Linked DNA regions of Sus scrofa. The protein of the gene in region 1 purifies or fractionates together with the protein of each later gene. This does not show direct contact. Links are inferred from orthologs where the notes say so. Each region holds a gene or a part of one and is shown on either strand. Other genes may lie near its edges.

Region 1 (4,937 bases):
AGTATACTGTCACATTCTAAGAAGAGTAAGCCAGTATTCACTGCTTAATTTATATTAAGGGCAACAAGAAATTTTGAGCAAATAAGAACAAAGTATGTAATTGTTTATTTCAGACAATGTTGATATTAACTTCAGATAGAAGCCTCCTTCCTAGAACTGCTGCCAGAGTCAAGGAGAAAATGTGTTTGTTCTACCTATTCTATCTTCGGTTTTGTGTGTACGTATGTACGTGTGTGGGGAGAGTGTGTGTGTGCGTGTGTGTGTGTTTTGGTTGGGGAGGAGCAGGCTGAGAGAGGCAAAGAATTCTGAAAGGGAAAAGCAGTACTTCCAAAGAACAGAGTAAAATAGGAATAAATTGCAAGAGAGAACACAAATGGTCAAGTTATTAAAAATTCCAAATTACTCAAGTTTTAATACCATGTAGAAATCTCTCAACCCTATTTCCTTTATGTTAGTCCTTTCATACCCTTTGACTTCATAATGAACCACCATCCACCTAGTTAATTATGCTGTAATTTATCCAGCATAAATAGCAAGCCCATACTGACAGCTTAAATTTGAAAATATGGCGAGAAACCATTCACTGCTATGCCAGAGCTTCAAAATAAAAAATAAATACAATCTCTTTATCTAACAGATATTTCTAACACTAAAGAGAGAGAAAACAGTAAGAAACATTTCCTAGAAACCTATTTTGACAATATTTAATTCATTTTAAATTTACAACTACCTTTAAAACATGAGCTTTTTTTTTTCAAGAATGATAACTAATACCCTTAAAACCAGTTTTCTCAAATGTCTCTACAACCACTAAACTTAAAATACTGAAGATACTGGAATTTACATTCTTTATTTGGGGAAAACACAAGAATTTGCTTTGGAAAGAATGCAAAATTGATTAGTTTAAAAGGGGTTTATTTCTGGTGCACACAATTTCTTCATTGTGAATATACATGTAATTCTCTGTACACAAGAAATGGAATTATGTTCAAAATAGTATAGACACAGCAAACAAGTTTCTTTTAAGTTACTAAAAATTTTATCTACTTAAATTAACATTCTAAAACTAAGTAAGTACTATTAATTTGAATAGTTAGTAGGTGTAAGGGAAAAGGCATTACACTACAATAAACGAAAACGTAACATGCATTCCTCTTATTAGAAAAAAGACACTTTCAAGTATTTTTCTCATTTATACTTTTTTAAACTGTGGGTATTAGAACTCCCATAAAAATGAGGTGCTGAATCCAGATATAATAAGCAGGCACCATGCAAAAGCTTTCCAGATTTGCCAATCAACCTCAATCACAATCTACAAAGAGTCCCTGGGATGGCAGGCCCCAACTCAATTGTGCAGAATCTGCCAAGTGGCCAAAATAATGGTCTTCTCAACAGTATTTCCATGTAAAAAATTGAGACACAACATTAGTTTAATTAGACAGGTTACTAAACATTTATGGTGTGAAGGAAGAATGCATTTTCTTAAGAATAGTAGTCTTATTAGTTGAGTAAACAATTTATGCAATGCACATCTTGAATGTATATGCACACATGTGTACATGTAAGTATAATATATTTAGAAAGCAGACACATGACATTTTTTTCATGCTTGTGACCTGGTGTTGTCAACAGGTCCACTCAAGTTACCTGGCTGTCTATCTTCTGCCTGACCCCTGAAACGACGCCTGCGGCTACGATTGCGTCGCTGGGGTTTTTTTTCACTATCATCTGTAATTGCAAAGTTCACCATGAACTATACTGACAAGAACACAGCAAGAAACAAAGCAAAAACAAAACAAAACAAAAAAACCCCCAAATTTTCTCTTCCTTCAAAGATTTAAGAAAGGGCGAGACAAACTTTTAATTAAAGAGGAAAGATAATACATATTACCCACTTAGAAAAATGCTTTTGTTATTTTAAACATTCCTACTAGATTAAAAATCAAATTATCAATCTGGAAATTAAGAGGGTTTAATTCTTGATTAAATGATCTCTAAGACGTAATATAAATTATCACCATTCAGGAATGAAGTTTTCCTCTCTTAATAGTTTAGTTTTTACCAAAGTTAATAACATTTTAGCCTGAATTTTGCTGAATTAACACCTATTCAGTACACACACCTCTTATCAGTATCATTTATAATGATATTTAATGAGGCAAGCTGAAAGCCCAATTTTGGTTTAGGAACATTAAGAGTATTAAGTGCCTTGCAGTTGAAATATTTGTACTGTTTTAATGGCATCAAAAGGGCACTTTAATAAACCCTCCCAGTTTCAAATAATTTGGCTATACAAATCTGAGAACTAGACATGTAAAAAGAGACACAAAGCCATCTACCTCATTTGAAGTAAACACTAAGAAAAATTCAATTTGTGAATTGCATATGTCTGGGAATTTCTTTTTGAAAAAAGCATCATACATTTTCAATATTATACAATAATATATATCTTTTCCCTAAGTGCTTACATACCTAGCCCATTTTCATTAACAGAAGCTGTATCAGATTCAGTCATCCCATCCATCAGAACAGCATCTTCATCAGTCCTTCGTCTACGAGACCGCCTACGACGGTTAGTACTGTGATGAGATTCGCTGGCATCAGTGTCTGCAGTCTGATCTGATTCTGTATTATCAAGTAAGCTGTATGGATTGCTGTCTGGATCTTTGAGCACTATATGCATGTCAGAGGCAAGAAATATTTGTTTAAGAGAGCTGCAGTTATTCGGAATGTTTTGATCTACATTGAACTATGTTAATGATAAAGAAACTTCAATTTCCCCCCAATAAAAATATACTGTCTTCAGATAAAATGTTTTCTGTATTACTATTTTACCTGAAAAATAACAAATATGAAAAAACTTTAAATGGCTATGAAAAATTAAAGTAGAAGATGAGTGGACACCTTGGCTTTTCTACCACTTATCTTTGACTTGTTTTGAAAACATATTAGGAAACAATATATTATTACATGCTATTTTACATTCACATTCCTAGCTAACCTTGTCCAGAGGCTAGAGAAATAAAAAGGAAAACAAAATTCAACTAATATGAATTAATTCCAAGAAAGAGCTTTTAGTCTCCATAACTGAATTCAAAGTGGCTGCTACTTCTCTGTGCCAATGTTAATGAATTATTTCCAAATAAGACTCAACACCCCTACTCCATGACATAATAGAAGTCTATTACTACAAACTAAAGCAAGCAAAACAAGTCTACACAAAAAAGCACACTAAAAAGTTTAAAATTCTAACTGGTTATAGGCAAACATGGAAATGAATGTTGACTAGGACTCCCATCTCCAGAAACAAAGAGTGAAAGTGGGGTGAGGTGGGGTGAGGGAAGGAAAGGAAAGGTTTTAAGATATAATTCATAAGGAAAAAATACCCATCTTACCTATGTGCATTTATTGCCTCCACCAAATTATAGAAGAAATTCACCTAATCACGATTTTTTCTTTCTAAGTTTCCTTTGGTAACAGCTAGCAAGCTAGCATCTTTGCAAAAGACACTAAGTTTATCCATTAATCAGAAACACTAGGTAAAGTACATATATGTTGTAATTCAGCATACTATAATTTTATAAACCTTGATAATGGTGAGCAATGTACTTGGGAAAAAAAAAAAATTCCCTGAAACCCTGTAAACTGAGCTTAGGGCCAAAGCATACTACCAGATCTACTACAGAATATCTTTTTCAAAGTCCGTAAGCAGTATGATTTGATCCAGTTGCCTTTTTTTTTCTGTCTTTTTAGGACTTCACACACAGCACATGGAGATTCCCAGGCTAGGGGTCAAGCCAGAGCTACAGCCGCCGGCCTACACCACAGCCACAGCAATGCAGGATCTGAGCCACATGTGTGACCTACACCACAGCGCACGGCAATGCCAGATCCCTGACCCAATGAGCAAGGCCAGGGATCAAACCTGCATCCTCATGGATACTAGTCGGATTCATTTCTGCTGAACCACAACAGGAACTCTATTTTCTTTTTATTTGTAAGCATGTCTGGTATGTATGTAATTATATGTACATGTGTGTTCTGTAATATTTAAAATACTATATAAATTGTCACAGGGCATGTAACATTAAGAATGGTTTTCTTAAAAATTCCATACAGCAATATGTTAAGGTTATATCCCTGATATACTCTAGGTCCATATCTCCCTGACGATTTTTCCCCAGCCCATTATGCTAAAGCAACAACATTCTGGCAACTAACTCCTACAACTCCACTAAGTTACAGCATATGAAATTTTCAAAAAGACAGGAATAAAAAGTTGCTTATACACCTCAAATCTCAGTCTTCTAAAACACTCCTCTTTACAGGTCAATTCCTCAAACAATAAAAATTTTTTAAAGGTGTTGATTTCACAATTTTTCCCTATTCCCAAAGTGTTACATAGTGTAGCCAAGAATGCATTTCAGTTAATTTTCAGTATTAAGTATATAAAGGCATTTAGATCTCTCTGCGCATTAGAATCCCTGGGTTTGTCTGGGTAACAGAAATACGTAACCTGAAAAATGCTAGGGGGATTAAAAAAAAAAATGTTCTAATTTACCTAAGCCCCGAAAAACTGAATGGATAAAACATCTGACCAATAAAACAGAGAAATGAGCCAACAAGTTGCTCTGACCTGAATACTCTAGCTAAACCTTCACTGAGAAACACTTAATAGGGCTTTTCCTTATTTTGCTATGTATATAATTGTTCTTCTATTTTCCTCAGTTTAAAAAGAGAAACTTGCAAAAATGGGTGGCCCTGAAAAATGAATAAATAACTTGCATAAAATTACACTGTTTACAAAGAAAGGATGCTGACATAGTATATAAAAGACTACCAGAACTGATGGAAGATTTGCCACCACGTGGTCCACCACGACCTCGACCCCCTGAAACGCTTCTGCCTCTTCCTCCTGGGCGTCTCCTGCTGTCACG
Region 2 (5,635 bases), on another chromosome or scaffold:
TAGAACAGATGGTAATAGCTTAAGTATTTTAACATCTATTTTTTTTGAGGTCCTACAAATATAATTGAACTAAGTAATAAGAGAAATGCTTTTGTCAGTGACAGTAACGCGGAATCCCAAAAGTTTAAGGAAATTCAAGATGTCAGAACTGGAATGAGGTGGAAGCTGCTCTAGGGTCAGAAATTCTCCTCCCAGTGCTCTTCTCTACCTAAACCTTTGAGATTCTCTACGTTAACATAATAAATATTCTCTACTTCAGTATGAGCTCTGGTGCCCCACTCTGGCTCAGAGGGTTAAGAACCCAACATAGTGTCCTTAAGATGTGGGTTTGATCCCTCAGTGGGTTGTGATCTGCGGAAGCGTAGGTCACAGATGTGGCTAGGATCCCACCCTGCTGTGGCTGTGACATAAGCCAGCAGCTGTAACTCCCATTCGACTCCTAGCCCAGGAACTTCCATATGCAGCAGGTGAGGCCGATAAAAGAAAGAAAAAAATAAATGAATTAAAAAATATATATATAAATGAATATATATACACACACATATATGGGCTCTAATACAAGTCACCCATAAGATTATGTCATCCTTTTGTCTTCACAAGACTAGTTGGTTCAAGACTCATCAGAAAGTACATGAAACTCCCAAGTTTGTAAAAAGATAGACTTCCTAGCCCCATAGATTACTCCTGACTTTATGAGTCCCTGCCAAACAAAAGCTGCAGTCTGGTGTAAGAAACATATAAACAGATAAGTAGCAAAACAAAGTAGTAAATGTCACAATATAACACTGGTAGGGATTTACAACAAACTAACAAAGACAGGAAAACTCTATGATTGGGTAGAGACCCTGGTTAGGGAATTCTGATTGGCAGGGGAATGGCCTCCAAGGTCAACTGTATCAGACTTTACTAGGAATCTACAACTTAGTGCTGCTCCCTGGCATTACAGATATACAAAAACATAGGTTACAGTTTCCCACCCTTAAGGATCTCAGAATCCAAAGAAGAACAATTTACTATGTGTTTGGAACCAAAATAATGAGGTTAGCCTTTCTAACACAGATAGGATCATACCAGAAAGCAGTAAAAGACTGTCTATAAATGAAATCACACAACTAGTTTGAAGAACTAAAGGTCAATGGGAAAGAATGAAAAAAAAAAAAAACCTCAAATAGAGGGGATTCAAGATTATTCAAGGCAACCTTGTGAGGTAAAAAACCGAATACAGAAATTCCAGTTCAAAAAACAAAAACAAAACTTAAAAGGGTGAGTTTTCAACTCCACAGTTTGTTATGCTAATAGTGCTCTACACAAAAACCGTAAGAACAACAAAGGTTAAAAGCACCAGATTGGGAACCAGCCCACTATGCTCACCATTCAACTCCATCACTTTCCAGCTAAGTCATTTTTTTTAACAGTTCGGTGCCCCAATCTCCAAGGCCTGTAAAGTAAGGTGCCTGTAATGCCAGGAGTAGCCTCTTCAAAACAAAGCTGTAGCACTCTAACTTTACTCACGAAATCAAATCCATCCTTTAGGCACTTGAAACCTCCATAATCTGGCCCTCAAACTTTAAGGTCTCAATCCTCATTGGACACCTTTCTATTTCCAGGCACCAGAGGGATCTAATGTCAGTTCTGCACACCATAAGCACTTTCCTACTTCTGTCCCTCAGTCTCCAGCGACTCTGGATCTAGAAAGCTTTTCCTCACCATCTTTCAAAATCCACTTCTCTAGGAAATTAACTCTCCTTCCTCTCCAATTCCATACCACCTTTGCTTCTCTGGAAATTGTGAACAATTTCCCCTGTTTTTGTGTTTGTTGTTTTAATGCCTCCCTCTCTCCTCTTTTCACTAAGATAGTGAACTTCCAGAGAGCAGAGGCAAATCTTTTTCAACCTCCTTCTCATTCCTCATCCCAGACTGCGCCTCTGCAGGCCTGGTAAAGCGTTACTAAATTAAACTGGATGTTTAAAACCCTAAAGGCCGAAGTTCCAGAAACTGCTTAATTTCACATAATTTTTAGTTGGTTTCAGGTCCCAAAATCTTGACATGAAACATCTTTAAATCAGAATATCGCCATCCTTTCAAGAAAAGTTCTACGGAGCATCCACACGGGTTGACAACGCGGTCATTCTTAGCTTTAGAAGTTGTGTGTGTGCTCCGGAGGGCAGCTGGAGGGCAGCTTCCCCGCGTTCGGTACCTTACTTTGGAATAAAGAGAACCGAGAGGGGGCCCGCCACCAGCTTGGGCTGTGCTCTGCCCTGCCCTCAACTTCCCGCGGGTCGGCGGGCTCTGGCCGCGCTCGTCCCTCTCCGCCGCACTCGGTTCTCCAGCCCTCGCCTCCCCAGGTCCCGCCGGAGCAACACCCCCGGAGGGGCAAGACGGCGCTGCGGGTCCCACCAGAAGGCTCGGCTCGGGCCTGCGCCGCCGCCAGCCCAGCCGCCCTGCCCGCCTGCCCCCGGCCTCTCCCCAGCCCGTCTCCCGCCACCCAGGGCCCAGGCCGCGCCGCCGCCGCCCCAAAGGGAGCTGGGGGACTCGCTCGCTCCGCGTGGCGCCGGGGGCGGAGCCGTCCCGGAGGTTCCCTCGGAGAGGCCGGGGGCGGGCGGCGGCCTCCGCCTACCCCGACACGCACCCCACCGCCCCCAACCCCAACCCTCCTCGGGCCCCGGCCCGCGCCCGCGGCCGGCGGCACTCGCCACTTACCAACCCGCCTGGGACAACGCCGCGCTGGAGACGTCGGCCATGGTAGCTGCTTAGGCCGGGGGTGGTGGGGGGCTCAGGTGGGGGTTGGGGGGAGGTCTGCTACTTGAGACCAAAAAAAAAAAGAAAAAGAAAAAAGAAAGAAAAGAAAAGAAAAAAACTCCTCTGGTCGGCTCTGCAACTGGGCATGCTCAGTGCGCCGGGCGCTTCCGCGTGCGGGTTCCGCTGGCCGCGTTTTCCGAGCGGCCGCGGAGGCCTGCCCGGCTTGGGCTGCGAAGCTGCAGCGCGCCGGAGGCGGTGATCTGCAGAAGACTGGCCGGGGTCTGCACGTCTGGGCCAGTTTTGTCGGGCCCGGAGCATGGGGCGGCCCCTCCACCGAAGGCCGGCTGCTTTTTGTTCGGGGTCACTTTTCTGAGTTGCACACCTCGGAGACTAGTGGGGCGGTTCTTTGTACAGTAGAGAGCCCGCCTTTCCAGCGCCGACAGGCGGCCACCTCCGAGAGGGCAGGACAACACTAGACCTGAGACGCACGGGCGATGGCGGGAAAGCGCTTCCAGTTTGGCGCTAATAAGGCCACGTTTAGTACAGTGAAACTGTAAGGGTGTTCCAGCTCAGTCTACACAGAAGAAAAGTTTACTTTCTTATCAATATTCGCTCCACTTCACTCGACTTTTCCATCTGCCCCGGATGCAAATATAATTGGATTTTTTTCGGTTCCCCACAGGCAAATCGGACTGTCCAGGTCCCACACCACAATGAAAGTAAGTGGGTCAATTCGAGAAAACCTGCACTTAAGGGATATGGGGAAATAGGACAGTTGTGTCGGTGCTTGTTTTTCCTGCCGCTCTCCCACTGGGCTGGGCCACGTCCCGGCGCGGCCCTCTGACGTTGGCATGCACACTGCCAGGCCTAGTTTCTGCCGGGCCCCTTGCCGGTGCCCTTCCCTGGTTCTCCAGAGGACCGAAACGTAGGAGCGGGTCCCCAGTGGGCATGCGCAGCAGCGTCGCTGAGCGGCGCAGCAGACGCTGCAAAGTGATTGGGTAATCAAGATCCACGCCAGCCAATCGGAGGAACAGGCAGACGGGGCGGTGGACTCGGAAGACGCGCCTTGAACGTTTGCTCCGCCCTCCGGGGTCTTTTAGGGCTGTGGCTGATGGAAAGAAGGGTTTTTCCGAATAGTTGTGGCCCTCGTCTGGAAGCTGTTGAAACCTTGGACGCATAGCCACGGCTGCCTCATTTGTTTCATCACCCACACGGACTTCTAACAGAGACTGCGAAACTGGGCAGAGCCGCTCTTGGACCAGGGAGAAAATTGTCAGTTACAGAAGGAAGAGAATAGTTATCCTGGGTGGAGCTAAATTTCCTTAATACATTTTTTTTATTATTATTTCAACTAGGGTATTCTGGTTGGGCCTCCTAAAAGACATAGTTTTAAAATCACGATGCTTTGCTTTGATGCTGTTGAAATGTGTGTCCAAGCACGTTACTTAGATACTGATTTTAATGAAACATATTTCCAACCACTTTTAGAATCAGAAATAACTGCAGCCTACACTTTGCTTTAGTACACAATGTTTAAGCTATACATATGCTACAAGTCTATTTCAATTTATAGGCACAACTAAAATATCCAGGAGTCAGGAAGATATTGTTTTGATGATAAACAGATGAGTCAAAATTGAATTGCTAATAATTTTTATTGGTTGTTAGAGTCTTCTCTTAACCACCTACTTTATGCGATTACTGTAACATGTTAACTGTGAAAGTTATATGTTGTCCCAATCATCAGAATTCTTCACTGGTTAAATGCAAAGCCTTTATACATTTGGTCTCGCATGCAATGTATACAAGAAAAATTTACCATTGTATGGTATTTACAATAACTTTAATAAAATGTTCCACAAAGCACTAAATTCCCTTATTCTAGGAAGTGATTTTAAAAATGGGTTGATGATTCCAAATGCAGGAATTTGAGATATAAGCTGTTCAATCTTCACGCTATTTATGATATATTTACTCACATACTCCGTAAACATGAAAATAAAACAAAACCAGAGGCATTGTGGCTCAGCGGGTTAAGGAGCCCATGTAGTCTCCAGAGGGATGCGGGTTTTCTCCTTGCCCCATTCAGTGTGTTAAGAATCCAGCATTGTGGTAAGCTGTGGCCTCGGTAGCAGATTCAGCTCCAATCCATTATCGCCATGGTTGTGGCATAGACCTCAGCTGCAGCTCCTATTGGATCCCTAGCCCAGGAACTTACATATGCTGCAGTTGTGGCCATAAAAAGTAATAATAATATTATTAATAAAGGTTAAAAACTTTTCTTTGAAAGGTGTACTTTAAAATAAATGTAGAACAATAGAATGAGAAAATGACCATTCTTCAACTCAATTACAAATGATTTGAACAAGTCCATAAGAGAATGCTAAAAGCCACGGGGTAAGATAATGAAGGACTACAGGATATTCATTTGGTCTCAAAGTATCAAACCATAACTTATTTATTACAAAAGGGAAAAACATACCTTTACCTTGAAAAAATGACTAGCTTAAATAAGAGTCATTAATGGGGCAATCTGATATTATGTTCCTACAGAAATACGCATCATCTAAGAAATATTCTTGCCAAAATTGTATAACCTGAACTTAAGTAAGCTTCTAGACAGTAGTTCCCAACAGGTGGCAGCGGCAGGGGGGGGTCTGCTCACCCTGTACCCCCAACTTCTGAGCATGTTTAGCATGTGTAGAGACATTGTGGTTGTCACAGCCTTGTAGGAGGAGGTTGCTATTAGACATTGTGCAATGCACAAGAAAGCCACTTGATCCAAGATGTCAGTAGTGCCAAGGCTGAGATATGTAGGGGATATTGGAACAAGTAAAACACACGGAAATGGGCAGATAAATCTAGAATGTGGCATATTCTGCAAGCAACCTGGCCT

Evidence for each region. The genes of interacting proteins can lie anywhere in the genome.
Region 2: the proteins of FXR1 (region 1) and TDRD3 purify together in Homo sapiens (affinity purification with mass spectrometry; 3 studies listed by BioGRID and IntAct, with this or other methods). This does not show direct contact. The link is inferred for Sus scrofa from reciprocal best matches to the Homo sapiens genes FXR1 and TDRD3.

The regions. Positions count from the first base shown.
Region 1 is NC_010455.5:118,890,941-118,895,877, reverse strand, and holds part of FXR1 (fragile X mental retardation syndrome-related protein 1), read right to left. Parts: coding exon 4,841-4,937; intron 2,674-4,840; coding exon 2,473-2,673; intron 1,729-2,472; coding exon 1,648-1,728; intron 1-1,647. UniProt on the Homo sapiens protein: mRNA-binding protein that acts as a regulator of mRNAs translation and/or stability, and which is required for various processes, such as neurogenesis, muscle development and spermatogenesis.
Region 2 is NC_010453.5:33,255,555-33,261,189, reverse strand, and holds the start of TDRD3 (tudor domain-containing protein 3), read right to left. Parts: upstream 3,569-5,635; 5' UTR 2,742-3,568; coding exon 2,701-2,741; intron 1-2,700. UniProt on the Homo sapiens protein: Scaffolding protein that specifically recognizes and binds dimethylarginine-containing proteins. Plays a role in the regulation of translation of target mRNAs by binding Arg/Gly-rich motifs (GAR) in dimethylarginine-containing proteins.